Caenorhabditis elegans: one gene and its partner. The protein of the gene in region 1 purifies or fractionates together with the protein of each later gene. This does not show direct contact. Each region holds a gene or a part of one and is shown in the gene's direction. Other genes may lie near its edges. The genes, in order: gtf-2E2 and rpb-6.

What was found.
Region 2: the proteins of gtf-2E2 (region 1) and rpb-6 fractionate together in Caenorhabditis elegans (co-fractionation; one large-scale study listed by BioGRID). This does not show direct contact.

The regions. Positions count from the first base shown.
Region 1 is NC_003280.10:11,536,203-11,552,263, reverse strand, and holds gtf-2E2 (Transcription initiation factor IIE subunit beta), read left to right. Parts: upstream 1-9,768; 5' UTR 9,769-9,773; coding exon 9,774-9,851; intron 9,852-9,900; coding exon 9,901-9,994; intron 9,995-10,041; coding exon 10,042-10,133; intron 10,134-10,183; coding exon 10,184-10,471; intron 10,472-11,120; coding exon 11,121-11,438; 3' UTR 11,439-11,491; downstream 11,492-16,061. Other genes in the region: F54D5.7 (putative glutaryl-CoA dehydrogenase, mitochondrial), read right to left, coding at 3,079-3,805, 3,856-4,171, 4,227-4,367, 4,694-4,739; dnj-13 (DnaJ homolog subfamily B member 13), read right to left, coding at 5,293-5,422, 5,480-6,207, 6,413-6,550; F54D5.9 (F-box domain-containing protein), read left to right, coding at 7,493-7,640, 7,689-7,895, 7,944-8,120, 8,175-8,816, 8,870-9,133, 9,194-9,453; dhgd-1 (D-2-hydroxyglutarate dehydrogenase, mitochondrial), read left to right, coding at 11,634-11,826, 11,900-12,466, 12,523-13,039, 13,102-13,288; Y62F5A.9 (uncharacterized protein), read left to right, coding at 13,465-13,638, 13,694-13,818.
Region 2 is NC_003280.10:10,572,549-10,587,489, forward strand, and holds rpb-6 (putative DNA-directed RNA polymerases I, II, and III subunit RPABC2), read left to right. Parts: upstream 1-6,831; coding exon 6,832-7,245; downstream 7,246-14,941. Other genes in the region: Putative serine/threonine-protein phosphatase C06A1.3, read left to right, coding at 80-172, 219-833, 1,074-1,279, 1,330-1,467; dohh-1 (Deoxyhypusine hydroxylase), read left to right, coding at 7,430-7,497, 7,543-7,928, 7,978-8,420; dap-3 (Small ribosomal subunit protein mS29), read left to right, coding at 8,586-8,795, 8,847-9,581, 9,627-9,723, 9,773-9,858; mrps-22 (Mitochondrial Ribosomal Protein, Small), read left to right, coding at 10,082-10,164, 10,218-10,395, 10,533-11,528; Alpha-1,2-mannosyltransferase algn-9, read left to right, coding at 11,796-11,875, 12,519-13,058, 13,580-13,781, 13,836-14,366, 14,424-14,726. UniProt on the Caenorhabditis elegans protein: DNA-dependent RNA polymerases catalyze the transcription of DNA into RNA using the four ribonucleoside triphosphates as substrates.

The DNA.
Region 1 (16,061 bases):
ATATATACCATGTTTCAGAAAAAGTTTGGGTTTTTTATTCCCGTAATCCATCAAATTACATTGCCCACTTTCACCGCTACTTGCCGACTGATAACATAATTTTTTTACTTGGAAATTATTTTAGCATCTGCAAAAAATATTTATTTATCAGTTTTAATAAGAAAAAACGGAAAAAGGCTGTGAAAAACGAAGGAAAACAGGCGGAAAACAAAGCAAGATAAATGGCCGCTGAAACTTGTCGGCTCCTCGGCCATGGATTAGAAACCACTTTTCCTCGTCCCTCGTGAGGAAAAAGTTGCAGTGCAACGAGTAAAGAAACTTCATTTTAAAAAACACCCCATTCCCTTCCCTTTGTCCTGTGTTTAGTTAACCAGCAATGTATGCCCCTAGTGTCATAGTTTGATGTACTTCTTCCTCTTTCATACCACGATGAAGGATTTAGAGAGTCTCCTTGAAAATGTTTATCATACACATGCCCATCACTATAATATCATACACAATTGGTTCCACCGCTTCGACAAGGACGACTTTTCTCTCGAGGATCATGAGACCCCATAAATTGGATTTGGATGCGTTTAAGAAAGCCGTGGCAACGGATCCTTTCCAAACCACCCGTGAGCTGTCAACCGCACCTGGGTCTCATTAAACCAACATCGTACAGGGCTTGGCAGCTCTCGGAATAAAGAAAATTAGGGGTGGATTCATACCTCACACCATGACACAAGACAATCTTGATTTTTTAGTGGATGATTCCCTTTCCCTCCTCATTCTCCACGGGGGCGATTGATGGTTGGACCCAGTTTTTACTGGAGACGAGAAGTGGGACCTCTACGATAACAACCACAGGCGTGCCCAGTGGATTGGAGAAGGAGAGACCCCACAGGATGCCGCCAAACCCGACCTTCACCCCAAAAAAGTCATGCTCACAGTGTGGTGAGAAGTGTACGGCCCCATCTACTGGGAACTGCTACCTGATAGCAAAATAATTACTGGGGGCCTCTACGTTATCTAACCACGAAACCTGAAGAAAGTCTTCAATCGTTCACCCCTGATGGACAAGCAACTCTATTTTCAACAAAACAACGTTTGTCCCTACGGCTTGAAACAAGTATTGCAAGAACTGGTCAGGCGTGGATGGATGGTTCTCCGTTACCCACCGTATTCTCCAGACATTGTCCCATCTGAAAACTGGTTGATTTCCGATGTGACTCGTAACCTCTGGGAAAGAACCTTCAATTCCCATGGAAGTGTCGAAATGGCACTCAAGCATTATTTCGACTTGCGCCTGGAAGGGTTCTTTAAGCAGGACGTTCATAAGTTGCGCACACGTTGGCAGTATACCGATGATAATGATAGCAAATAAAATTTATCCTGAAGTTTCTTTTGCTTCGAGAAATAAACGATTGAAAAAGTCACAAAGACTTCCGGTTCAACCCAATAATTTTTCAAATAACTTTCTCATGTTGACTTCTAAAATTGATATTGATCACCGAAATTGTAACAATTTAGCAAGTTAAGTGCGGAATTGAAGTAAAATACTATAAAAAAACGAAAATCATTGAAAAACATTCATTCGAAATGCGCTGTGACGTCATAAATGTTCAAAAAAAAAGTTTCCCGCTTCTCATGTGCAGTGAAGCGATGGGACAGTCTGACACCACATGCGAATCGGTGAGATACGTTTTGGAATCCGACTTGCTGGGGGAGAAATGACTGTATGGGCTCAGTAAGAACACTTCAAGCCCACAGGACGCTCCGTTTCTTGAATCAGATCCGATTCAAACTTTTCTATTAAGTTGAATGGAATCACTTCGCACCACGAGATTGACGAAAACCAGAAAAAATTTCAAGTTTTGGATGTTTCTGGAGAAAAGAAAGTCGAGGATTTCTTTTTGGGAAATCGAATTCATTAAAGGTGGAGGAGCGATAGTGAGGAAAGTATCAAAAACTACTCCTATGGTGCCAAAATGATCGAATATCATAATAAAACTTTTCAAGCATTTTTTGGAAATGTTTTATTTACAGTCAAAAAGTGGCAATTACTCAGTTTTGTCACTCTTGGAAGTCGACCAAAAAAATTGTTTTTTTCCTACATTTTTATACTATAAGTTTTGTTCTAGCTATTTGTACTAAAACATTATAGGGTCAAAACATGCGAAGTTAGAATATCCTCAAAAGCTCATATTTTTCGAAATTTTGGCAATTTGACAAAATTTTGGCCGGAAATTATGAAAAATCGAAAAAATTTTTGAAGTGTTTTATTAAATTATTCGGTCTTTTTAAATCATTATAAGTGTATTTAAATAGACAAGCCGTAATTTTTCCATTAGTATTTATGACTGTAAAATTAATTTATTCTCCAATTATACAGAGTTCGAGACCAATTTCCATACAATTCACAGATAACTAATGTAATCTTATAAATTTCCAAATTCTGAAAATTCTTAAAACATCATTGTTTAAATATCCAATTATTTGTAATTCAGCTAGATTTCAACTCGGAGCGTTTCATTTTTTTTTGTTGATATTTTCGGATTCCCCTGTGAATATGGTTGTTTTGGAAATAAAAGTAAAAATTTGAACACAATTTTTAATTCTATAGCTCATATCTATTTAAAGAAAATTAAATATATTTAGAAAGAGTCGAGAGAGTGGGTACTGTAGTTGAAACATTTCATTCGTGTCGAGACCCACCTGAATTGTTTCAAATAAATGCATAAAAGACTTGCAGGTCATTGCTGAAATTTATTCAAAGTTATGTAAAAGTTTCTGATTTTCTGGAATTTTAATTCAATATTTATAATTTGGCATTTGGCTGAGTATCAACTCTGTGCACTCCTTTGTGATACGGAGCGTAATAAATTTGACAAAACACCACGTTTTCTAACTAAATTTTATGTTTTCAGACTCTCCTCGAAAGGCTGATCTAATTGAGCAACAAGAAAGAATTTCCAACGTGTGCTACATATTTATTGAAACTTCAATATTTTTGGGAATGAAATAAAACTTTTTGCGTTGAAAAGCAATAGACTATGACAAGACTAGACAATAAGTGAAAAAAGGAAAAAAAAGAAAAAATTAGCAGAATCCGTTGAGTCCCGTGATGGCTCTTCCAAGGATCAGAGCATGTACATCGTGTGTTCCTTCATAAGTGTTAACTGTCTCCAAATTCACCATATGTCTCATAATATGGTACTCATCCACAATTCCATTTCCACCAAGCATATCTCTCGCCTTTCGTGCCACCTCGAGAGCCTTTCCACACGAGTTTCTTTTGATAATCGAGATCTGCTCTGATTGAACTTTTCCCTCATCTTTCAGGCGGGACACACGAAGGCATCCTTGAAGACCCAAAGAGATTTCAGTTAACATATCAGCCATCTTCAACTGCATCAGCTGATTCTGTGCAAGTGGGCGTCCGAACTGTTGGCGATCCAAAGTGTACTGGCGTGCGAGATGGAAGCATTCTTCAGCTGCTCCGAGAGCACCCCACGCGATTCCGAGGCGTGCGTTATTCAGGCATCCGAATGGTCCTTGAAGCCCTTCAGCGTTCGGGAGAAGATTCTCCTCTGGTACTGGAACATCATCCATTGCAATCTGTCCAGTGATCGAGGCTCTCAATGAAAGTTTTCCTTCAATTTTTGGAGTCGTCAGTCCCTTCATTCCACGTTCCAGGATGAATCCCTTGATTTTATTGTTGTGGCGAGCACTTCTCGCCCAAACGACCATCACATCAGAGACAGGGCTGTTGGAGATCCAAGTCTTCGATCCATTCAATTTGTAGGTTTTTGTGGTCTCATCCCAGCTGAAAAACACAAGAGTTTTGAAAATGAATCAAATATTTTCTAGACTTACGTGGCCTTTGTCTCCATTCCTCCTGGATTAGATCCATGATTCGGCTCGGTCAATCCGAAGCATCCGATCTTCTTTCCACTCGCCAAATCGGGAATATATTTCTGCTTCTGATCCTCACTTCCGTAGTTGTAGATCGGTCCGATCACCAGACTCGTTTGCACACTCATCGTAGATCTGTATCCCGAATCGACTCGTTCCACCTCACGAGCGATGAGTCCATAGCCAACAGTTGATGTTCCAGCGCAGCCGTATCCTTGATATGGGGCGCCCAACAGGCCCATACTTCCCATTTCCGGAATCAGGGATGGGTCGAATTCTGGAAATCAAGACTATGGTAAAATTAAATAAGAATTCGGTATGGAGTGTCTCACTTTCAGTTCTGTAAGCTTCTGTGACACGTGGCAAAAGTCGCTCCTGACAGTATTCCCGAGCCGAGAGCATCAAAGATCTTTCGTCTTCAGTGAGCTGATCCGAAAGCTGGAAAGCATCTTGGTAGAACGTCGACGAGAGACCTGAAATATTTGGAGGGTGAGCTCAAGTTTGAGAATAATTTTTTGGGTGTAGTCGAATTTAGACGATATGTAAAAACGATACATCACAAAAATTTCGTTAACGTGAGTTATGGCTTCGAAATAGCGAATAATTCTAAATTTTTTGAACTTCGCGCGCGAACGAGCGCCCTCTGCGTGTACTCCTCTCGGACAATCATATAATTAATATGTTGATTATTGTTTTCGGCTAATTTTAGGTGATTGTTGCGGTTTTTATTGTATTTTTACAGCAGTCTTAATTAAATTCGACTACACCAGCCTTAAATATTAACTGAAACATTAATTACCTCTACTTGCAATCTTGCCAATTGACGTGAATCCTCTGGTCAGCATTTTTGCCGCTGCAAACTGGTAAAGAATGATGATGGTGTGCCCTCATCTCCTTTCTTTCAACGCCCGATATCATCTTTTACCCCCACGTGGCCAAGGACAAGACAATCGATACGATGAGGAGACAGATCAACTGAACACACGAAAATCACAAAACTTTCTTTTGCTTTAATTTAAAAGTTTATTTATCGGAAATGTTGATAAGGAAGCACGAATTAAAATTGAAAGAGGGGGCGGTTGAGGGGGGATACAATTACACCGAGTATCTTGTCAATGAAGGTTTTCATGTCATTAGAATGAGACTTGATAAACGATAAAAAATGCATCTGAATAACTATGGGCAATATGTGTGAGATGGGTAATTAACAATGAAACATGGGTGATAAAAAGAACAACATCCTAATAAAAAATCTCTTAAATACCCGCTTGAAAACATCGAACAAGGCGACTGAATACTGCTAAATCGAATCCAATGGCAATCAAGAGTGATTGTTTACCCGTCTTGGTTCGACTGTAGTTGATTGATAAGCAAGAGAGGGAAAATTGAAAAATGCGATTAGAAGTTCCTCAGAATCACTTCCCGTTGAGTTGGATTGAGTTGTGATGGGAATTCCACGTCAAACTCAATGATTAAATCTCCTCTGTGAGATGGAGACTTTGGATTTGGAAGTCCTTTTCCAGTCAGCCTGAAAGAATTAAAATTAATAATTTACTTCTCGTGAATCTCAAAATTTTTAACCTACCGTCTTGTAGTTCCCGGCTTAATGACATCGTTCAATTGAAGACGGTAGTCTGCTCCATCCAACGTTGGAATCATAATATCAAGGCCAGTCAATGCAGACTTCAGGGAGATCTTTTCGACGCGTTTGATGTCAGATCCCTCTCGCTTGAATTTCGGGTGTGGCTTATCCTTGATGACGAAGACTATGTCGGCGGGAGTTCTGTTCGGGTGCTGATCACCTTCTTTTGGGAATGTGATCTTTGTGCCTGACTTCCATCCTGGTTTAATAGTGACCGTCAAAACTTTGTCTTCTAGGCGTTGAGCATTGTCCGTCATAACTTTTCTTGTAATCTTCATCTTCTTCGTTGTACCTTTCAGTACATCCTCCAAACTGACAGAAAGATCATGGAGCACAGCAGGATCTTGACGAGCATGTCCACGTCTTCCACCTTGATGCATGCCGCCGAACATACCGTCATCCATACCACCTTGATTCATGAAGAACATATTCGGGCCTCCGGCTCCACCACCAAGATCAAACATTCCAGGTCCACCAGCACCGAACGGATCGGATCCTCCAAAGAATGATGAGAAAATGTTCATTGGGTCTCCACGGAATTCGTAGTGCATTCCACCGCCGCCACCACCTCCGGCTCCTGGTCCACCTTCCTTTAGTCCTTCCTCTCCGAATTGATCGTAAATCTTCTTTTTCTTATCATCGGAAAGAACATCGTAAGCTTCGGCAATTTCCTGTAATTAAAAAAAATATTATTTCAGGTTAACATCAATAAATTCCCAGAAAAACTGCAATTTTACTGGGATTTTCTATATTTTGATTAAAATCGTTTTTAAATCGAGTGCTTAAAAATAACAACTTGGTCATGAAAAGTACAGTATCCTTCACCGAGGACCAAAAACTTTTTTTTAAATTAGAAAACTAAATTTTAAAAAATACCTTGAATTTGTTCTCAGCTCCAGCTTCCTTATTCTTATCCGGATGGTATTTCAAAGCCATTTTACGATAAGCCTTTTTGATTTCATCGTCTGTTGCACCTTTGCTGATGCCCAGCACTTTGTAGTAGTCTTTTCCCATTGTGGAAAGTAATCTGAAAAGAAATCATATGAATTTTTGAAATATTAACCAGTAACAGGTTAACGGAATAAATGAAGCAACAGATAGATAAAAAGAATACACCCGGCAGAATAAATATGGGTCAACATCAGAAGAGGAAACACGGAGAAATGGAAGAGAGAGTGCGCCGAATCATGAGAGAGAAGAGTGCGGAACTTTCCAGAGCGTTCTATTTACTCGCGAAGCGCAGTGCATGTTCGATCTTCCGTCGGCCGGTGGAGCGCACATGCATCACTCGTTTTTTTTATTGAAAATACATTGGTTTCGCAAGATAAAAATGAGGAATGAATAAAAGCATGAGCACGATACAAAGAAAAGAATGAGCAAGAGATAAGAAATTGTGCTTTTTGGTATTTATTTTCTGAAAAAAGAATATTCTGGAAGGCGAAGTTTCGTCACGAAAAAATATGTTTGTTGGAAAGAATGATTTACGTACACTAGGAAGAAAAGTTATGCTTAAAATTCACTTGCTTATTTAAAAATTGATTATTTAAAACCTGAATTGTTAAAATTTAAATTATTCGAAGAGAAAATAAAGAGAAAAAATTGTTTCCATGAAATTAGTTTTGTTCTCGTGTATAAACAGCAATCAGATATTATTTTTAGAAAAGATTTTTAGAAAAAACTTTAATAAAACTGTATTGAATTAAACAATTTTAAAAATCAAGCCTCTATCCATAATCCAGAAGGCCTCCTGAACTCTGCGCTCGAAAACCCCTAGGCGCGCCGAAAAAAAATAAATAATGCGAAGAGTACTGTATCAAAGGGACATCAACGGCGCACAGTATGGTCCTGCCACGGAGACATATTTCTGTTTTCCTAAACAAGTTTGTGCGAACCTCCATGCTTTTTCACCGGTCCCAAAGTATTTTCCTCTGATTTTAAAGTATTTTTCGTATAAAAATGTTTCGGCGAACCGAGCCACCGTTCCGATTGTTGGCTAGAAAGCGAAGAAATTCCGATTCGACGCCCCCAATCACGAAGTTCTTTGCAACAGTAAAACGGGAACGTTCAAGCTCTGAATCGAAAAACGTATGCCAGAAGTTGGACGGTACGACAATTTTTCTTTTAATTTAAAATTAATTTTCTTGATTTTCAGAAAGTTTCGAAGCTCCCAACAACTTATCTCAAACCTCTCATACCGATTCACCAGACAATGGGCTTTTGTACTCCTTGGAGGATTTGCGAGCACTTTTAGGTGTTCCTGTCAAATTTTCCTCGAAATGTGTGCCATCTCCAGATGCACCAGTGGGCTTGGAAAACCTGCCGAATAGAGCCTATTCGCATATTTTCACAATTCTTGACAGTTAGTTGTGAAGTACTGATCAGAAATTTTAACATTCACATTTTTCAGTGCAATCCATTAATGCGCTTTCACTGACATCCACAAAGTTGTGCTCACGAGTCAAAACCTACGTTTCAACCCACGATTTTTTCCGTCGAATGCAATTGGATAATCTTGACTTTCTCAATAGCTCACTCCGCCCCGACGATGAAGAATTCTTAGAGAATGATCCTTTCACTGCATGTGGTTAGTGTTGCAATATTTTTATTTTCGTTTATAAATCTAAATGTATTTTAACAGGTGGCCTCATCAAATCCATCACGATCACAATGAACACAAAGATCCGCGCTCAAGTCTTCCTGAACATCTGCCGGAATTTGCGTGATCAACTCGGAGGCTCCCTTCATGGTTTTGGAAGACTCCTGGAAACGATAACGCACAATTGGAAGTTCTCTGAACGTCGTATAATGGTAAAAGCTGCAATCATGATCGACGCTGATCTCCGTCCTTCGATTATCAAGGTTCTTACTGCTAAACCGGGCCAGTTGATAGGTCTCGAGATGAAAGTTCGTTCCGGGTTGACCCAACTCTTCCTCAACTTGAGTCAAGACATCGATGAAGCTTCTCCACAGGAGATTATCGAGTTTGGCTCCTGGTTGTCTGTTCTGATCCGAAACGTAATTGAAAAATATCAGGGAAAGTTCTATTACATCCTATTCGGACCAACAAGATCTTCAAGAATTGGCGAACGCGTCGACTGGGCGTATTTCTGTGAGGACGATTCAGATACCTTCACTTTGCGGAAGAGTGAGCCAAACTATAGGAAATTGCTGTCAACGTTGCTCAATGGAATCCGCGCTCTTCGCATCATGAATAATTCCAAGAGTTCGGACCAAATGTGGAGCGGGAAGAAACTTTATCAGCTTTTCCTCCGGATCATTGGTAATATTTTTTTTTTTAATATTTTTAATTTTTAATAGCTTTTTAATTTTCAGAAGTTTGCGAAGTACAAGGCTTTTGGTCTGAGACCTCATCTTCTATGGCGCTGGCCATTGATTCTTCAGGATTGCTCAGCGAATATCTTGTCACCTGTCTCGATCCTCGCCGCGACGACTATGAAACTCTCCAGAATGAAGCCGCGGAGATGGTGTGTCTCGTACGCAACCATCTTTATCGTTGGTCGGCTGCACCTGCCACGTTTCTCGCCGAACCACTGCACCACGCATTCAATCATCTTGCGCAACTCGATGGTCATTACGGTGAGCGGCGTTCTGTCATCTTTTCGGTGCGAGAAATAACGAATATTATTATTATTACAGACGGTTGCTACAAAGCTTTTCTCGAAAAGATTTGGAACGTTCAAAGTTCACGGTTGAAGGAAATGGTAAAGAACGCGACAAACACAACCGAGTGTTCTGAAAAGATCCGCGAAGAGCTCGACGGTCAGCTCTCAATGGCTCGCCTGTTGACGGATATATCAAACACAGTGGTTCTTCACCAAATAGGCTTCCAGCTTCCAAATGACCTAGCTGCTGAACTCGTCAATGATCCACTAGAAGAAGAGGAGCAGCTGGAATAAATCATGTTTTATCTGTCTAGAAAATTTTGAAAATAGCTTCCAACTGTAGAATTAGTTTTGTTTTTGTTTTCTTTTACTTTTACTTTCACTTTAATTTTAATTTTAATTGTTCAAATTTAAAGCTCCTTTCACTCCTTGTTCCATCTTTCTCATTCTGATAAAATCAGCGAAAACTAATTCACTTTATTGTTTACTACAGGGTTCAGCCCCCTGCCACCATTATTTGCCGGCCACTGGCCTTGAAAAACCTCTTCCATCATCGATTTTCACTCTTAAGAGAGTACTCTTCATTGTTTCGAAAGGTTTTCGTTTAAGCAAAAATGGATCCGGAATTGTTAAGGCAGCGAACTGCTTTCCAGAAGCATGCTGCAACAACGATGGCTGTTCAGAATAAGCCTGTGAGAACTTTAAAAATTAAAAAAATATTGAATTTATCGATTTTTTAAGACAACAGCACCAAATTCACACACAACATACTCTTCAGAAGCAGCAAAAGCGAAAAAGAAGAAAAGCTCTGGACCGGCTCAAAATTTGTCGAAACGTTAGTTGTTAAAATGTAATATTAGTTTCTGAAAACGGAATTTTCAGTCCCAGATTTCAATAATTCCGTGAGCAACGCCAATGCGTTATCAAATGCCACAAATTTCAGTACAATGGCGAAAATTGTGGATTATATGAAGGTATTTATATTTTAAAGCGAAATTTTCGAGTTAAAAACAGTTAATTGCAGAAACGCCACCTAAACAATCAACAATGGCCGTTGACACTTCAAGAAATTCTCGATGAACTTCAAATTTTTGATCTTTCAAAAAGAAGTCTTGCTTTCCTTCAAGAAGCATTACCAAACAATCCTCGACTGATAATGGAATCCGAAAAATTCGCATTTCGACCACCTTACAAAATTAAAGGAAAAACTTCGTTGGTAGCTGTCGCGAGGAAACATTATCAGGACGGAAAAGGTGGAATTCTTGTGTCGGATTTGGCTGAGTGTGTGGCTAATTATGATGCACTACTGCAGGTGGGAATTTGAATAATTTATAACAAAAATAAAGTTTTTATTTTTCAAAAATTTCAGCTAAAAATTAGTAAAATTGATTTTAAAATTATCAGCGGCTTATTTTTCGTAGTAATTAAAATTTGAGTTTGTGATGAATTAGATCTTTTAGAATTTCTGAGTATTCAACAATGTGTTTTTTTTTGATTTTCAAATTGAAATAAATTGAAAATTAAATATATAAATTCACAAAAAAGATAAAATGTGTTGAAAATTTATAAAATAAAATTCAGAAATTACTTTATTTTCAGACTTTTGAACAAATTAACGTTATTTTTCAATTTTTACACGAATAATTTTGATCATTTTCGATCCCATAAGTTAAATATTCCACAAAAAAACATTGAAATCGATAAAAAAAAGGTTTGAAAAAATATATTTAATAAAGTAAAAAAAAATTATTACACTTTTCCAGCATAAAACCTTTTTCCTTAAAAAATTTTCAAAGGAAAAACATTTTTGAAGGCAGAATATTCTCATTATAACTTTTCAAAAACTAGGGTATTTAGGGTTAATTTTGATTAAAAATCAGAATTTTTAAATTTGTCAAACTGAAAAAATCAAAGTATAAAAAAGGAGCAATTTTGTGAAATATTAAATTAAATTTTTCCAGCAAGTATCCTCTGAAGTGATCGTTGTTCCGACACAAGTCAATAAGAAAAAGGATCGAGTCGTCTTCTACAATGACAAAGAATTCACATTCCCAGAGCTCGAAGACGATTTCAAAGCCTTGTGGAGACACGTGTCTGTGGATCATTTGGATGAGAAGAAAATCGAAGAATATCTCCAGAAGAAGGGTCTCGACGCGATGAAGGATCTGACGCCGAAGGTTCGAATGCAGGCTCCACTGAAAAGAAAAGCCGCGAAGAGACGGTTCAATCAAAAAGTACAAAACGAGCATATGGACGGAGTTTTGGAGGATTACGAATGATTTTAATTACACACTTCTGTTAACAGTACATAAAATGAACTATGATCATTTGTATCTCTTCTGTCTCTTTTTCTTATCACTGCCCAGCCGTTTGTTTTCTTATTGTTTTCGGCAAATCGGTCACCTAGCCGAGCTTTGTCTCCTACTATTTCTTTTGAAGTTTCAAGTTATTTTTTGAAAAGTTTCTGAATTCAGATGTTTCTGAAAATCTTGCCACGAATCAGAAGACCAACTAGAAGCTACGCAGCAGTTCTTGCCGCCAGACATGAAGGATTTGCAAAAGTGATGCAGTCGGATTTAATGGCATTTGAGAATTTTCTCGGGCAAGATGCAGTGAAGAAGGACGATATTACAAATCATACTACAGATTGGACAGGCCAATTTAAAGGTATTTGTATTTTAAGATTAGGTTTATTTAATATTAAATAGGTACTTTAAATATTAAATGTTTTAATTTCCAGGTCCTGGCAGTGTCGTCCTCTACCCGAAGAGCACCGAAGAGGTTTCTGCAATATTGGCGTATTGCTCCAAGAACAAATTGGCAGTAGTCCCACAAGGAGGGAATACAGGACTCGTTGGTGGATCAATTCCAGTACATGATGAAGTTGTTATATCAATGAATAAAATCAACAAGCAATTCTCTTTCGACGACACAATGGGAATTCTCAAGTGTGATTCTGGTTTTATTCTGGAAGACTTGGACAACAAACTTGCAAAACTCGGATATATGATGCCTTTTGATCTCGGAGCCAAAGGATCCTGTCAGATTGGAGGAAATATTGCCACGTGTGCAGGAGGGATTCGGTTGATTCGATACGGAAGTCTTCACGCACATCTTCTCGGGCTCACGGTGGTTCTTCCCGATGAACATGGAACTGTTCTACATTTGGGATCAAGCATTCGGAAGGACAACACAACTTTGCACACTCCACACCTATTCTTGGGAAGTGAAGGGCAGTTGGGTGTTATCACAAGCGTCACAATGACTGCGGTTCCTAAACCGAAAAGTGTACAAAGTGCGATGCTTGGTAGGTTGAATATTTATATAATGGGTTCAAATTTTTCAATTTCTAATTTTTTTCAGGCATCGAATCCTTCAAAAAATGCTGCGAAGTACTGAAGCTTGCAAAATCCAGCCTCACTGAAATCCTTTCCTCCTTCGAACTTCTCGACGATGCTACGATGGAATGTTTGAAAACGAATCTAGGATTGCACCCAGTACTGAATGCTCCAACCCCATTCTCGATCCTTGTCGAAACATCAGGATCCAATGAAGATCACGATATGGAGAAAATGAGCGCATTTTTGGATGAATGCCTCTCAAAAAATCTGATTATCGACGGAGTGCTCGCTGGATCTTCTGCAGAAGCTACGAAGATGTGGCAATTGAGAGAAAGTGCACCATTGGCGGTTACCAGAGATGGATATGTCTATAAGCATGATGTTTCTTTACCATTGGAAAATTATTATGAATTGACGAATGTGATGAAGGAACGATGTGGTTCTTTGGCTAAAAGAATTGTCACTTATGGACATTTGGGAGATGGAAACACTCATTTAAATATTACATCTGAAAAACACAATGAAGAACTTGAAAAATTGTAAGTTTCGAGATTTTTCTTTTTTATAAAATTTTAATTCTATTAATAATTTCAAATTCCAGGCTCTATCCCTTCCTCTACGAATGGGTTGTCGATCACGGCGGGTCAATTTCAGCTGAACATGGAATCGGTCAACTGAAGCTACCGTACTCCACATTCGGAAAAGATCCTGAAGAACGACTTTTGACAAAGAAGCTCAAGAACATTTTCGACCCAAATGGGATTCTCAATCCGTACAAAACGATATAATTCTAATTCTAATTATTAATAACGCGTGTAACAATACGTTTAGTAGCACAACTGTATAAACATTTGACCCATATATCGTCGGTTCTATTCTCTTTAATTATTTGAGCACCTGTTGAAGGGGAAAATGAATCCTCCAACCCCCAAAGAGCCGGGTCAATTCATCATTCTCCACTAAAATGACGATCCTAATTGTCGCTCTTTTTGCTTCCATTGTAGTATTATGCCACGGAGGTACTGTAGAAACTTCACATCCAGCTTCGGATAAAATTATTGGAAAATATATAGAATTATCAATGAATCTTACGATTCTTCTCGCAGATACTGCTATAGATGAGGCTAAAATTCATCAGGTTTGTGATTTTTTTTTTGAGAGAATTTTTTTAAACCAATGTTCAATTATTCTAGTTATCCAAAGATATGGTGTCAAATGATTACGACGAGGATAAAGTGCAACGAGTTTTGGACAAATTCATGGAAAGTCTTCCGGCAGATCAGAAAAAAGATTTTGGAAGACTTTATTTTGATAAAGTGTTAGTTTTAAGTTTAAGTTTAAAAACAGCAAAAAAAGAGCAGGAGGCTCCAGACCTAGGTGATTTTTCACCCGGTGATAGCGAGTTGTTAGAAGTATCTATCACTGCAGAGAAAAACCACCAAGGTCTCTGGGACCCACTTAAAAATAACTCACCTTGATATCAAATGCACCTGTACCCGCACCTTAGCTGATGTACACCCGGTGATAGGATTTCTGATATCTTATCATCATGGCATACATCCACTGAGGTGCGGACAGGAGGTTCGGAGACACCAGAGCCAAGCTGATTTACACCCGGTGATAATCTCAATGACGAGCTTATTACCAAGACGAAATCAGCTGGGCTCTCGGTATATCAGGAATTCAATAATCAGTAGCTGAATGGTAGAATGTAGGGGAAAACTCCAGAAATCGGAATGAGTCACAGGTCCTACTCCAGTTTTTCTCCCGGTGATAGAGACTTTTGGATGCGTTATCACCACGGAAAAAACCGGAACAGGACCTGGCTCACAGAGAAACCACGAGGACCACTGCAAGTGTTCACCCGGTGATACAGATTAGAGAATGTAGCACCGCAACGGACACCCACACTGGTCCAAGGGTTTCTAGAATCGATTTTAAGATATTTTATCTTTCCGCGTCGGGGACCCATGCGAATTTTCACCCGGTGATAGACACTTTGGATGGTCTAGCACTGAAGCGAAAATTGGCGCGGTTCCCCGACAGCGGTGGAGCAAGTGGAAAAGATCGAGCCACTGCTAGTTTCCACCCGGTGATAGTTCTAATGGAAAGTACCACTGTGGAAGAAACCAGCAATGGCTCGATCTGATCCGAGAATAATAGTTGGGAATGGAAATTAGGAGAGGGGAAGAAGGGAGAAAGTGATGGGAGAAAAGAGAAAATAAAAAAACAACTGATGACTGAATGGACCATTTCCATTCCTTTTATACTGCTGACTTGGTGCACCATTGGGTCTCCGCCCATTTGGTGTAGCGCGTTTGGTGTAGAGCAACGTGTCCACTCGGCGTCTCTTCATTTCACACACTCTCTCGGCTCGTTGCGGTCAAATGGTGTGCAGTGTGCGCTCGCGCGCGCGCGCTCACAGCAACGAACAGACGGACGCGCTCGATAAATGGTGGGCCCGATGGTCAACCGGGCAGGTCTAGGAATCGTAGAAAAGAAAGGGAAGAAAGAGGGGAGAAGAAGAAGGAGAAGGTCTGGGAAACACAGATTAGAGACTGGAGACAGGGGTGAAGGAAATTGGATGCGACGGGATGAACGCTAGGCGCCGGACGGCGGAGTTTTTCGGATTCTCTCGCTTCTTCTCGATGTCTAGAATAGGCGCATGCGGAAAGTAGAAGGCGGACAATCTGTTCCATTTTTTTGGAAGAGAGATAGATAGAAGGAGAAGCGAATAAGATTGAAGACGTGGACGGATGACCTCCCGTGTCGGGAAAAAAACCAGAAATAAAAAAGATGGAGCCAGCCAGCAGTGTAATCCGTTTCAAACGAGTCCGCTTTCATCGTTCCGCCGAAATGAGATTGCACTTGAGTGAGGAGAGAAGTTAATAAAAATAAGAAAAAAAAATTCGATTTTCAACTGTGAATATTCATGAGCACTGCATAACAATGTGCTCCAGCACAGAAACATGACGAATTGATGATTGCTAATAAAAATTTCGATTTGGAGAAACGTTTCTATCGAGAAAACACGTTACAGTAGGAAATTCTGTGCCTGTAAATTTTTATGATTGCGAAAAAGAGGTGTGCGCCTTTAAAGGATTACGGTAATTAAAAATTTTAATTTTCGGTGTTTTTAAAGTTTTTTTTTTTTTCGAAAAAAAAGTAAAAGTGATTAAAAAGACAAAATTTGATAAATTTTTGTTGAATTTAAAAAGGCGCACATACATTTTAAGTAAATTCAAACTTTGTTTCTGGGGAGTAGATTTTTCATAAATTTCGATAAAAATAGATTTATTTTTTTAACTCTAATATAACTGTATAAATATTCAAAAAAAAACCTCTAAAAATCCGTGAGAATATTTACTGCATCAACAAATGTTTAAAATTACAGTACTCTTCAAAGGCGCATATGTACCTTTCCGAATTTATTGAAAAACTGTCGTGTCGAGTCCGGATACCGTATTTTTCAGCGCAAAAAAATCGTATAATATCGCGAACATTTGAAAAAAAAATTTTGTTTCTCAGCAGGAAAACCATATTCTTTGAGATCTAGAGCAA
Region 2 (14,941 bases), 960 kb from region 1:
GGCATTCACCGATCCACCGGGTCTCCTTTTGCTCAAAAATCACAGATTTTCGTACTTTCTAATGACACTCTTTTTCCAGGTCCAAAATCATCTGAGATATCAAAGTTCGATCTGGCGAAGGAGAATCCGAAATTGGCTGAATGGATGGATGATTGCATCAAGAGAATGAATAGTAGGTCCCGCTTTCACTAAATACCATAAACCTCCAACTTTTCCAGGTCTCTACAAGGACACGAACATCAACATTTGCAATGTGATGACTGGACACGAGATCATTTCGATTATCCGGATGGTCGAGGCAATCTTCATGGAGGAGAGCAATCTTTGTGAAGCCGAGGCTCCCATCAAAGTCATCGGGGACATCCACGCTCAGTACCAGGACATGAATCGTTTGTTCGATTTGATCGGTCGAGTTCCAGAGGAGAAGCTCATGTTCCTTGGAGACTACGTCGACCGTGGACCGCAAGGAATCGAAGTTCTGATCCTTCTCTTCTGCTTGAAGATCCGCTACAGAGATCGCATCTACTTGCTTCGTGGAAACCATGAGACACCGTCGGTCAACAAGATCTATGGATTCTATGTGGAGTGTCAATACAAGTATGGAATCGGTTTGTGGTGGGACTTCCAGTCATGCTTCAACCGCATGCCAATGTCTGGGTTGATCTCGAAGAGAGTGCTCTGTATGCACGGTGGGCTCTCACCGGAGCTCATCAATCTCGATACGATCAGGAACATTCCACGTCCGTGTGAGCCGCTGGATCGTGGATTGCTCATTGATTTGTTGTGGTCGGATCCGACGAACAAGGGAGAAGGATGGTTCCATTCTATCCGAGGTATGAAAATTCCACAGCTGAATGGGTCTCACCGAGAGAAACATTTTTACTTTGTTCAAAAACCGCTATCACAAGCTTTTTCTCGCGGCGAGACCCAATATTACGGTCTTGAAACGTCTTGAAAAGTGTGCAAAAAAGGCATGCGTCTTTAATTGTTACAGTAGTAGTCTCTACACCTTGCTGTTAAGTCGTTTCGAGACCTTTTAAGGTCATAAGTCTCAAAAATGCGATTTTTTTCAGGAATCAGCTACATGTTTGGTAAAGGAGTCGTCGAGCAGGCATGCAAGTCCCTGGAGATTGATCTGATCATTCGCGCTCATCAAGTCGTCCAGGATGGATATGAAATGATGACTGGACGCCGTCTGATAACTGTCTTCTCAGTGCCAAACTACTGTGCTCAGTTCACCAACGCTGCTGCAGTGGTTTGCTTGAACGCTAACTTGCAGGTAATCTTATCCAGAAGACTCTCGCAAAGTAATAAAATTTTTAATTTCAGATCTCGTTCCAACAAATGATCCCACCGCCACTTCCGGAAGGCACCAAGGCCAAGGCAGCTCCGGCGATTGCAATCGATCCAAACATTGATGCGGCTCGTGCTGACAAAGATGCCATTAAGCCATTTGTCAAGGAATAGAAGCAGTGGAAAGTAACCGATTTAGATTTCATCGAATGAATAGTTTTGATTTAAATTGGTTTTTTTCTTATTTATAATAAATTTCCATTGGCAGATAAAACTGAAATTTCAGTCAAATTTCTTTAATGTGTCTGGTCGGACGCAATGGTAACATTAATGGTCATGTGAAAACATCTTAAAAGTTGCCCTGCAATTTCAATTTTTCATTTTCAAACGAATTGCAAATATTTAGTATCCACATTTTAAGTCTTCTTTTGAATTAATAATAAAACTTCCTGTCTAGCAGACCAATTTCGAATTTTCATTTGCAGAGATCGCAATGAATTTGATCGACACCATGACACTGATTACCGATCCTGAAACTAGAAAACAAAACAACAACTTCGAAAGCTATTAACTTTTATTAAGTTTGAACTGCCTATATTAGTATTCAAAACTAAATTCTCGAAACATCTGTTGATGTTCGAGAAATTAGTAAAAGAAAACAAACGAAAAAAAGAAAAAAGGCCACAGAGCAAACTTGTCATCGTAATTTCAAAGAGAAAAGAAATTGCGATGACAAATTGCTACACAAAGGGTGCTACACAAATATTTAACAAGGAGAAGGGGGATGTGCATAACAGGATAAGTATGAAATAACAAGAATGGGCAATATTAATACACTGGGAAACTATGTGAGTATGGGTAAGCTTATTGCAATTGTAACATTGTAAAATTACACAAGTGGGAAGGAATCATTAGTCAAAAACAATTGAGAAAAGGGATCATGGAACAGCGAGGAAAGTATGAGGTGGTTAATGAAACAAAATTTGCCTGTTGAAGGTGATCATGCGTTGACACGACGTTCCGTCAGATCTCCCGAAGCTTTGTAGCAGATGATGCTGGTCAACTCTCTGAGACGGTCTGCCTCCGGGCCGCTAACACTTGGAATGTTATCCATGGTCCTGAAAACAAAATAGTTTATCTATAAAATGCGATAGCAAAACTTACACTGCCTCGTTCCACAGATTGCGTCCTCTCTTGGCGTACTCGTTGGCGACATACAATGAAGTTGGAAGCGACGTCGGAAGTCCAACAATCTGGTGAAGATGGCACAGCTTGTACGTGATATCCTCCAATGCCGTCATGCTGACTTTGGCGTCATCGGCGAGAACTGTGTACAATGGAGTTTTCGCAGTTCCTTGCAGAGTGATGTGGGAATTCAGGAAAAATTGCTTGCAGGCCGGATTTGTCACGATGGAATCGACCATAATACCGGGAGCAATATTCAGATCCCATGCTTTTGGAGCGGCTGGCATTGCAGAATGTCTGCTTGCGGTGCTGGAAGTCGCTTGTGGACGGGCAGCTAGACTTGTCTGAAAATACAGGAAGTTATTGAAATACAAGGTTAATAATAACAAACCACATCCGGCTTGAAGAATCTGAAGCTGTGATCCTTTGACACCACGATGTAGACCAGTTGAATTTCAGGTGAGAAACCTCTCATGGCAACACGAACAAGAGGAATCTCATAGGCCATGATTGATCCATGATTTCCTTCGCTTGTTTCAGTTCGGTAGATAATGACGCGTCTCGGAAGACCGCCATTATGGAACCTTTGGTATTCGCTGAGCGAGTGCATCACAATATCCTCAATCGGCGCAAGAGTCTGAAATTGAATGGAATGAAACTATTCTAAAATGGACTGGAAACTCACATCTTGGCTGGCAGAGTTTAACATGAAGTCTCCACTGAACTCCTGGTTGTGCTGTGCGTTGTATGCATAGCCAATAACATTGGGATTTAGAACTCCTTTGTTCTCCATCGCGTACTTGGTCCCGGCAGGTGGCGCGGAAATTCCAACTCCAATGATCAGATGCGAGTCGAGCTGCCTGAAAGAATATTAAATTAATATGAATTTCGGAAAAAGAAACTAATACTTCTTGACGTCCACGAAAACATAGTTGGATCCTCTCAGTTTCACATTCGTCTTGTTGATAACGTTTTCGAGAGTTAACCGCTTTCCTGCATTGATAACACTCAATGCTTTCGATAGCTTCATATCTTGTATGATCATCTTCGTATCCTTCTCAATCACCTTGTAACGCTCTGAAAGATAGAAATATAGATAAATATCGTAAACAATATAACATACGATGGAGTGTAGTGATTGAATCGTCCGTTATGATGAAAACGAACATGCAATTTGCTTTCATAGCGTCGTACAGACGACTCTCGATGGCGTCCATATGAATGAGCGACATGTCAGCAGGAGCAGGCATGTTGACTCCTTTTGACTTGCACATAGCCGCAAACTCATCTGCGAATTTCCTGTAACGTAGAATTGAGATATGAAACTATTTTGCCAAACTTACTTCAGAGTATCCAAGGTTATGCGAGTTGATGTGGTACCGACGACATATATCGCCCACACATTCGGCGCCGTGGCTGGTCGAGTGAAGCGGTTGGGACGCCACTTGTTGTCCTTGACATTGATTGGATTGGTTCCGTTTTCAGCGTTCGCCAACTTGACGGCAGGAATTGAGCGTCCTTTGACCATGAGCGGTTCTTCACACACCGAGACACCCATTTTACCGAGAGCCTCGTTGTCCGATGAAATTTGCGCCGCATTTTTTCCCGTCATGATCAGACGCTGGCGAACGTCAGGCATAACAGCACTTTCTTTAGTGGTCTTTTGACTCTGAGCACTGGTTTGCTGCGGGATCTGAACGCGTTGATGAGAACTGATCTTCAACAATTCCATCGGGTAGAAGTTGATATTTCCTCTCTCCTTGGAAACGATGAGGTTTGCGCCTGGGTAGCGAAGAGTGATGTTGTATACGTCTTCGAAATATTGAGCTACAGTACAGCTTCCACCGTCATTGAGCTGAAAACGAGCATTTCCAGCCCCTTCGTGATGGATTCCCTCGATCTTGTGATGACGTTCACGACCACCATATGTAGAATAGCAATCGAGACCTTTGATGACAGCTGCGCAGCGGTCCTTTTCGGGTCCCTTCAGGCCGTGTTCCACAGGTTGCGTAGTTATCTCCTTCAGTTTATCGAGAATTGGCTGATTCTTATGGAAAGCGACCTTCATCCCTGAAAAAAGAAATAACTATGAGATTATTATTTTGAACACTGACCGTCAATGACAACTGATGGATTGCTCCGCCCCCTGCCATAGGGTCCTTCAATGAAGTTGATCGTCTTCTTGAGTCCTGGTACAACTTGCTTTCCATCCCCAACGTCAACAACGTCGGACTTCTCGAATCCTTCACCGAGTGGGTCAATGAAAAACATTTTTCCATGATCGAAAACAACGTATCTTGCAGTGTTACGAATACATGGTTGAGTGAGAGCGAGTTCGAGGATCTGTTGGTATGCCAAGCTGACAGAATCGAGGTTTGAGTCAGAAGCTCGTCTTGCTACGTCTTCTCGTGTGAACTTGACCGCTGGATTTTTAGTGGGGAACACCTCCAGCTTGATACACGGCAACGATTTGAGATCCTTATGATCAATCTCTCCTCCATCAAGCTGCATGTACTTGGTCTGAAATATTATGAATAACATTGATCAAGATTTATTGTATTTACCTTTACTGCGCCTTCTCTGAACCCTTGGAAAAGATCCACGTTGGAGAACAGAATGCTTTGACCATCGTAAATGAGACAGCTATCAGACGTTCTGAAGAACTCCTCATAATCGCCAAGAGCGCGAAACAGAATCGCACAGCACTTTTCGTCTCTCAGTAACGACGAAACTGAAACATATTATGAGCAAGGTTTAAATAATGCGGTAGCTTACTCATCCTTTCCCTTCTTGGTGAAAGTAACTTCATTCCCGTTTTTCAGTTCCGTCGTGATGTGAACGCTGTACTGATAGAACAACGAGTCCTGGTGCATCTCGATTCCGAATACGTTGGTTTGTATTTCGGCCTCAACGCCACATTTTCCTGGTTCAGTCGGTGCTGGATACAGCTTTGCAGCTGGAGCGATCTGAAATTTAACAAATTAGAAGGTTATGAAACCGATTAAACGTACATTGAGCTCTTCCAGTCTCTTGATGCAAGCGTCGTTAGACGTCTGATACTCCGATCTTAGCGGTTGAGTTGGAACTGGAACTGGTGGAACGGCAGGTGGTGCGTGGACGCTCGATGGAGCTCCAGAAGGCGTGTAGACTGATGGAAGGGCTGGCATCTTTCGATTTTGTCCTGTAAATTGATAATTAAAAGTAGTGTAGGAAGTATAGAAAAAAATGCGTTGATATATCAAGGAGGTGCGACATTAATATTTGAAACAAAAATATAAAAATAACACACAAAACGAGCATCGAAAACGACAAATTCCGCGAAAAAGGGGAAAAGAAAATACGAAATTGAAAATCGCGGTAATGTTTCGTATCGGTATAGGTTCAAAAGTGGTAGAATTACATAATTTATTACTAATAAATCCGTTGAATGATAAAAATGATAAAGCTCATATATTTAACATGCGACCTGCCGGTCCGAGAGTAAAACGAAGAAGTGACGATTTCCTTGCGCGGTGTCGACGTGTTGGGGTTTGATGTGCATGTGTGGTAGTACTGTAACACTCGTGACGTGTGTGTCTTTTGGCGCGGCTTTCAAACAGGAGTTTCCCGGCTTTGTCGTTGTTGATGACTTCCGTGGATTGTCGTGAGCATTTAGAATACGGAAAGACTTCGTAATAATCATAATAATTCTTTAATATTTCCTTGACGCATTTCCTGGGTATTAATATCATTTCTTAAGTCGTGATCGGCGGAATATCAGTATTCTGCGTATTCGCGACACTCCCGGCCCCTTCAAAAATGGCTTATTATCAGCTCGTGATACTAAGCAAGACCCGACCATTTCCGTTACCATTTTACTTCTTCATTTCTGTGTTCATTTGCTTTTGAACCCCTTACTATAAAAAGTCGTGATAGGATGAATATGTATATTCTCCTTCTTCGCGACAGGTAATCCTAAAATTCTGGGTTACTGTAGGTGACTTTCGCTGTGAGACCTTCACTAGAATTCAAATTGCCTCTCACAACGACGTTCCACCGTTACGCCTTGCGTCTTGTTTAACGTAAATCCACCTGAACAATTTCGTAGAACCAATTTTCTTTCTTTTGCTTTTTTGCTTTTCCTGAATGGAATAAATTGAAAATATCTTTAAAAGTTTTAATATTTAACAAATTGATAATTTTTCACTGTTACAATAATCTAATGTTGAATCATCCGTGTAGAAATATCTTTAGGCCTGGTTCTGTATTGATTTTCCTATTTATATTTGTATCACTCTTGTATTTCATTTGATTATCGGTTTTTTCTTATAAATGTTAAGAAATAACTAGTAAATTCAATTTTGCAGACTCAGAATGGCCGATGAGGACGATTATCAAGATATGGATAATGATGATTTCGTTGACGACAACGAAATGGAGGACGTGATCGAAGAAGATCCACAACGCCCTGACAATGAGGACGAGGACGATGACAACGTGGACGAGAATTTCGAGCTTTTCGATCAAGGAAAGGCTGTTCCGACTAGTGAGCATGTGACAACTCCATTCATGACAAAATACGAACGAGCTCGAGTTCTTGGCACTCGCGCTCTCCAAATCGCCATGGGAGCTCCGGTTATGGTTGAACTTGAAGGAGAGACCGATCCATTGGAGATTGCTCGCAAGGAGCTTAAACAACGCCGTATCCCGATCATTGTCCGCCGCTACCTTCCAGATGGATCATACGAAGACTGGCCAACCGATCAACTTCAACTCGCTGATTGGTAGAGAAATGTTTCTCTAATTTTTCCTCATTTTAACTGTTTCACCTTTTTTGCTCTCCTCATTTCTGATCTTACACTCTCATTTTTATTTTGTTCCGTTCGTATTATTCTCTTTCTCTCTCCTTGTTGACAATGTTATTTGAAAATTAATGAATAAAATTTTAGATTCAACTCGAACAACGGGAAAGATGGTCGCTTCGCAAAAGTTCTCTGATGCCGAAATCGACAGCTTTGGAGAGGCATTAAACGACACAAAGTAATCTTGTAGATTTTTTTCCAATTAATAAATGAAAATTTTCAGGAAACCTCTGAAAGCTCGTTTCCGAGCTCTATTTATTCTCCGGAATATTGGATGTGATCGTTCTGTTGACTGGATTGGAAAATGTCTGAATGACGAATCAGCACTTCTGAAGCATGAGTTGGCTTACTGCTTGGGTCAAATGCAGAACAAGCACGCCATTCCAACACTTGTGAGTGTTCTTGAGGACGAGAAGCAAGAGCCAATGGTCCGCCATGAAGCCGGTGAAGCGTTGGGAGCAATTGCTGATCCTTCAGTCAAAGATGTCCTCCGAAAATATGCACAAGATCCGTGTCCAGAAGTTTCCGAGACATGCCAAATTGCATTAGGAAGGGTGGAATGGGTTGAAAAAAGTGGAAAGGATACCAACAGCCCTTATGATAGCGTTGGTAAGCGATTCAATTAAACATATTTTGCTTATAAAAGTTTAATTTGTAGATCCAACACCATCAGCTTCAACATCCGACGTCGAAGAGCTCGCAGCCACTCTGATCGACGCTTCACTTCCACTTTTCGACAGATATCGTGCGATGTTCAGTCTAAGAAACATTAAGACAGATAAATCCATCAAAGCTCTTGCTCAAGGTCTCTACTGTGAAGATAGTGCTTTGTTCCGTCACGAAGTCGCATACGTTTTAGGACAACTTCAGTCGCCTGTTGCCACTCAAGAATTGAAGGATCGTCTTCTACTGTCAACTGAAAATTGCATGGTCCGTCACGAATGTGCTGAAGCTCTTGGAGCAATTGCCAACGAAGAATGTACGGAGATTTTGAAGCAATACGTCAATGATGAGGAGCGTGTTGTTCGAGAAAGCTGCGAAGTTGCCTTGGATATGGCTGAATATGAAAACAGTGATGATCTACAATACGCTCACGTTTAATAATTTTTTGTTGATTTCCTCCTGTTCTTGTTCATTGTTTTGTTTTCCAGTTTTAATTAAAAATTTCACCTAGTTTGTGATCCAGTTTCTAATTCAATTTACGTTTTGTCGAAATTTATCTACTTTTACCAGATTTCTCCCGGAACTTCAGACAAGTTTTACAGAATGAAGCCGTGTGGAAACCTAATGTGCCAGATCGCTCGCCGACTTCCGGCTCGCCAGCTGCATATTTCGAGACGATCCAATTCCCAGTTAGCAGATGTTGGAACTCTTTCCGAAATTGAGATGCCAGTTGCCAAACAGCTTAATATGAGAAATCATCTGCCAGCTCCACTTTCTAAACAGATGGATACGTTGGGAGAAGTTGTTACCTTGGTTAGTCGGCGATAATCAATGGAATATTATATTCAATAAATATATTTTCAGATCCGAGAACCAATGGCAGAAGTAGCAAGCTGTATGCGAGTTGTGGATAAAAGTCTTCCAGCTCTTCGCCTCGTGTTATGGGGAGCTTTCGGAACCGGAAAGTCGGTTACTCTCAATCAAGCTGTTCATCATGCTTATAATAATAAATGGGCAATTGTTCATCTAAGAAGTGCAATGGAGCTGACAAGAAGAGTAAAAGAAATTGAGATGTCATCTTTTGTACAAGGCCGTATCAATGATCCATCGAATTCTGTTTCTATTCTCCAAAATTTCAAGCAACAAAACCAACATATCTGGAAGATTCTCGGAGAGTTGCTCACTGAAAGAGATTATGAATGGTCGAAAAGTGAACGAACGTTGAAAGGAAAACCTATCACTGAAATTATTGAAATGGGAATCTCTGCTCCGTTCCTTGCCAGTGATTGTGTTGGTGCAATCTTCCGAGAGCTCCGACGCCACGCAAAAGATGACAAACTGAAGGTTCTAGTGGCGATTGATGATGCGAATTCTCTGTGGGGAAAAACTTTGGTGAAACGAGCTGATAGAACCTATGCACCACCTTCGGATCTTACTCTTGTTGTACATTACCGGCGAATGATCGAAAATGATTGGACTAATGGATGTGTTCTGATGGTTGCAGATAAGAAAGAGGTTGCAGACGCCAGGGATCATCTCGGAGTCTCCAGGCACACTCCATTGGAATTGTTTGGAGAAGAAGGATTTGAATATGTTGAGGTAAAATTGAAAGCATATATATTATCTTGAAAACTAATTTTTCAGCCATTCGTTCCAATTGAAACGTCAAATTATACGGAAGCCGAAACAGATGCAATCTATAATTACTATGTGAACAAGAACTGGTTAGCATCAAAAGCAGGTGAGAGACCGCCAATCCCATTATATTGCAATTTCCAAATTGTTTGCAGCTCGTAGCGAGGAAGGAAGGAAACAACTTATGCATCTCAGCGCATTCAATCCATATTATTACGAGAGGCTTTGTGCGTTCAACTGATTTAAATCATTATAATTTACGTTTTTTGTTGAGTGTTTCTGTTTTTTTTTAATTTTTAGGTCTCTAGTTTTATTTGTTATGAATAGAGAATGAAAAATAATGTTTTTATTATACAACTGGCCATTGTTTTTGTTGTTCGTTGTTCCTGTTCTGATCGGGATTTCATATTTATTCTCTGTATCTTATTCTATTTTTATTCATCAATTTCCAGATCCAGATCTCCATGCTCCAGCTGAAACCTCGAGTTTCGGCATTAACCCGGCTTTCAGCCGAGGTTCGATCTGCATCGCAATGGATCAAAGCAAGGTATTTGAATTTTAAATTTTGTAAAATATATATTTAATATGATTCATTTTCAGTAACTCTAAAACACCAGACGACATCAATGTTGAGAAACTCTTCGTTGAGAAGGAAGTGCAAAAGCTACTGACGGATTTAACAGAAATTGATTTGGAGCACAAAGTGTTCAGACCGCGAAGAACTTCGATTCAACAAAGATCTCATTTCGCTCTTATGACTGAAGAACGACTTGAAAAGGTTTGTTTGAAAATGATTTATAATTTACCGCATTTGTCGATTTACAGTCGAGTTTCTGATAAACTTGGATCTGCTAGACTAGAAACTACTCACCAAAATGAGAAGCTATTTATTCAATTTGACTTATTTTTTTCCAGACTCGAGAGCGTATGCGTGAAGAAGCTCGCAGATTCCTACAATTTGTTCCAGTGAAAGAACCTCGCGAGGAGAGTGTTCAGATCCTCGCCAAAGATCTCGAATTGAAGGATTTTGACACTAGCAAATTCGTATTCACTGATATCACTTTCGATGCGACCGACCAGGATCGTACTGTAGTCGTGAGAGAACCCGATGGTACATTGAGAACTGCGAATCCAGAAGAACATGATCGAATGAACAGAACTTATTATCAAAAACCGAATCGTTCTGTGAATCCTCCACCACTCTTCTCGGATCCAAATCTACAAAATGCTCTTGATAAGAATGATCACGAATTCGTTCTAGACTGGGCTTGCTGGTTTTACGAGCCTGACGATCCGGCCTATGTTCGTTTGAGTCAACTCGTATTTGATCGTATCAATGAATCTGGTAAATTCCATGTCGTAACCTCAACTCGTCACTTTGGACCATTCACTTTTTATTTGGCACTGAACGATAACATTCAGAAGCTTTTGAACTATTTTGGTGGACTTGGAAGATTATCCGACTGTGCAAATCTTGTGAGACTTCAGAAGGCTGTTCGTCCCGATTGGAGAGTTACAATTGCTCAGGGAGATTCTGATGAGAAGATTGTAAAGGATTTTGCGAAGCAGAATGCTCGATTCCGAGATGAAATTCAGGATCTTTTGAATTTTATCAACAATGGAAAATTGAAATCAGATCAGGAGCAGACGGAGCACGTGAGGGAACGATTTGGAGTACGAGTGGACAAGAGAAAAGCACGCATCACTTCAGCCAATATTCGTGGAGCCGATGGACCACTTGGTGATTTGAGCAGTGAATATTCGGTGAAAGTGGTGAAGAGTGAGGGAAGTGGACGTGAAGGAGGAGGAGGTGAAGAGAATAAGAAAGATGAAGGAGGACGTGGTGGTGGAAAAGGACGATGGAGAAGTAGGGAAAAGAGATCAGATGATGATGGAAAGAAAAAAGAATGATGCTTTCTAGATAGAGATTTAAAGTGAAAATTGAAATAATTTTTGTATTTATTAGGATTTTAGCTATCTATTGTTTTTTTTCATTGTTTGTTTTCATTTTATTCTTTTTTTTTTAATTCTCGTTTTTTTGTTTTTTTTTCTATGAAATTTACAGATTTTGAACTTTTTTTTCAAAAAAATTGATTAGATTGGTTGATATCCCATCCACTTGTTATTTGTTAATCTTGTTAGAAACATTTTTTCAATCCACATTTTTCAGGTTAAACCATGGTGACGCATAGAAGAAAAGGAGGCAGTGGTCCGCCACAGAAACCACCGCCAAGAATAGTTGATCGATCTAGTTTTGAGTGAGTTGAACACATTTTTGAATTGAAAAACCCTTTTAAACTACCAGGTTTCACCCAAAAAAAAAAGCAAATGTTCAATTTATTGGAATTCGAAAAATTGAACATCGGAAAATCGAAGAATAAAAACTTTTGAGTATTCTAAATATGGTTTTTTAAACCTGATTTTTAAGTTGATTTTGATGAAAAAAAAATTAATTTATGTAAAATATCGAGAAATGACAGGAAATTATTGATTATTCGATTTTTTGCGAAAAGCGACATTTTTCAAATTTTTTTAAAAACTAGATTTATCAAAAATTTAATATTGATAAGAAAACAACGAATTTTTCTTTAAAATATTAAGAAAAAACCGGAAATTGTTGAAAATTCGAATAGTTTTTTTCGCGGTCAAAACAAAATTTTTAGATTTTTAGAAATCGGTAACTTTAGAAAAAAGTATAGAACATGCACGAAAAATATGAAAAAAATCGAAAATTTATGATTTTTTTAAAAGCTAGTTTATAAACTACCCTTGTTTCGAACTAAAACCATTTTTTTTTTCTAGGAAAAACACAAAAATTTTCAATTTTTGAAAATCGGAAAAACGAGAAAAAAGAAGAACGAAAAATATTTTTTAAAAAATTGATTTTTTTTATTTTTTCAGCGCCGACAAAAAGAAGATAAAAGTCGAAAAACTATATCACAAAGCCAACAATCCAGACAATGACTGGCCATTTTCCTTCGGTTCAGTCTTCAAAATGTTGCTCTCAATTCGAATTTCCGGTGCAATATGGGGTATTATCAATGATTGTGATGAAGTCTACAACTATTGGGAGCCACTTCATTTGTTTCTTTACGGAGAAGGATTTCAAACATGGGAATACTCTCCCGTTTATGCCATCCGATCGTATTTCTACATTTACCTCCACTACATTCCCGCGAGTCTTTTTGCCAACTTGTTCGGTGACACTAAAATTGTAGTTTTCACTCTTATTCGATTGACAATTGGTTTATTTTGTTTGTTGGGAGAATATTATGCATTTGATGCCATTTGTAAGAAAATCAACATTGCAACTGGCCGATTCTTCATCTTATTCTCAATTTTCTCATCTGGAATGTTCCTGGCAAGTACTGCATTCGTTCCATCTTCATTCTGTATGGCTATAACTTTCTACATACTTGGAGCATATCTCAACGAGAATTGGTAATACAAACTTCACTTTCTAAATTAAAAAAAAACGGAATTTTACGATTTTTGCTCCGAAATTACTGTACCCGGTCCCGAAGCGACCAGCTTTTTAAAAAATTTTAGAATTCAAACTAGCATGGGCCTTTAAAGATTACTGTAGTTTATAACTCCCCGTTGTCGCGGGATTAGATTTTTTCACAAAAAAAAAACCGAAAAATTGAAAAAAATTTTAATCGAATTTTATTTATTCTGATAAGAAAAACATATAATTCAATTCTACAAAGAGGAAAAATGACCAAAATTCAAAATAAATTTAAAAAAAAAAAACGATTTTTTTTGAAATGAAACATTTGTCGAAATTTTGGAAAACGGAAAATCGAATATCCCACACCCTTGTTGAGAACTACAGTAATCCTCAAAGGCGCACCATTTTTTCCATTCAAAACATTAGTCGCTTCGAGACCGGTTACCGTATTTCTGGAGCAAAAATAGAAAATCTTCGCGCTTTAGAATTATCTATATTCTTCTTATTACAGGACAGCTGGAATCTTCTGCGTCGCTTTCTCCACTATGGTTGGCTGGCCGTTCTCTGCTGTCTTGGGGCTTCCGATTGTTGCCGATATGCTTTTATTGAAAGGATTAAGAATTAGATTTATTCTGACATCGTTAGTGATTGGATTATGTATTGGTGGTGTGCAGGTTATTACTGATAGTCATTATTTTGGAAAGACTGTTTTGGTAAGTAAATTTAATTTCTAAAATTTAAATTCTAAGTTAATTAAATCCTTTAAGGCCCCATTAAACATCTTCCTCTACAACGTTGTCAGTGGTCCTGGTCCATCACTTTACGGAGAAGAACCGCTCTCTTTCTACATCAAAAATCTCTTCAACAACTGGAATATCGTCATATTTGCTGCTCCATTTGGCTTTCCTCTGTCTCTTGCCTATTTCACAAAAGTCTGGATGTCTCAGGATAGAAACGTGGCACTCTATCAAAGATTTGCACCAATCATCCTATTGGCTGTCACCACTGCCGCATGGCTTTTGATTTTTGGAAGTCAAGCTCATAAAGAAGAACGTTTCCTATTCCCAATTTATCCATTCATTGCTTTCTTCGCTGCTCTTGCATTGGATGCCACGAATCGACTGTGTCTCAAGAAATTAGGAATGGATAATATTCTCAGCATTCTCTTCATTTTGTGCTTTGCAATTCTCTCGGCATCAAGGACGTACTCAATTCATAACAATTATGGATCTCACGTTGAGATTTATCGATCTCTGAACGCAGAGCTGACGAATCGGACGAATTTCAAAAATTTCCATGTAAGAGTTTTATAAATTTCAATGTTTTTATTTTTTCGAAAACTCCCAGTTGTTCAGGATCCAATTCGTGTATGCGTTGGAAAAGAATGGCACCGCTTCCCTTCATCGTTCTTCATTCCACAAACAGTTTCTGATGGGAAAAAAGTGGAAATGCGATTTATTCAAAGTGAATTCCGCGGACTTTTACCTAAACCATTCTTAAAATCGGACAAGTTGGTGGAAGTTACACGTCATATACCAACAGAAATGAATAATCTGAATCAAGAAGAAATATCGAGATATGTGGATTTAGATTCATGCGATTATGTGGTTGATGTTGATATGCCACAGTCGGATAGAGAACCTGATTTCAGGAAAATGGTAGGGGTTTTGAATATGGAGAAACGTAAATGGAGATTTTATTTCAAAAAAAAAATCATCTCAAATTCAGCGACAAAACTACAAAAGAAAAACAAAAAAAAAATGGAAAAGAATTGAAAACGCGATTCTACAATTTTGGCTAAATTCCCTGTTTGAGGAAATCAAATTTTTAAATTCAAATTTTCATTCTTTCCCATTTTTTTTCGTTTTTGACA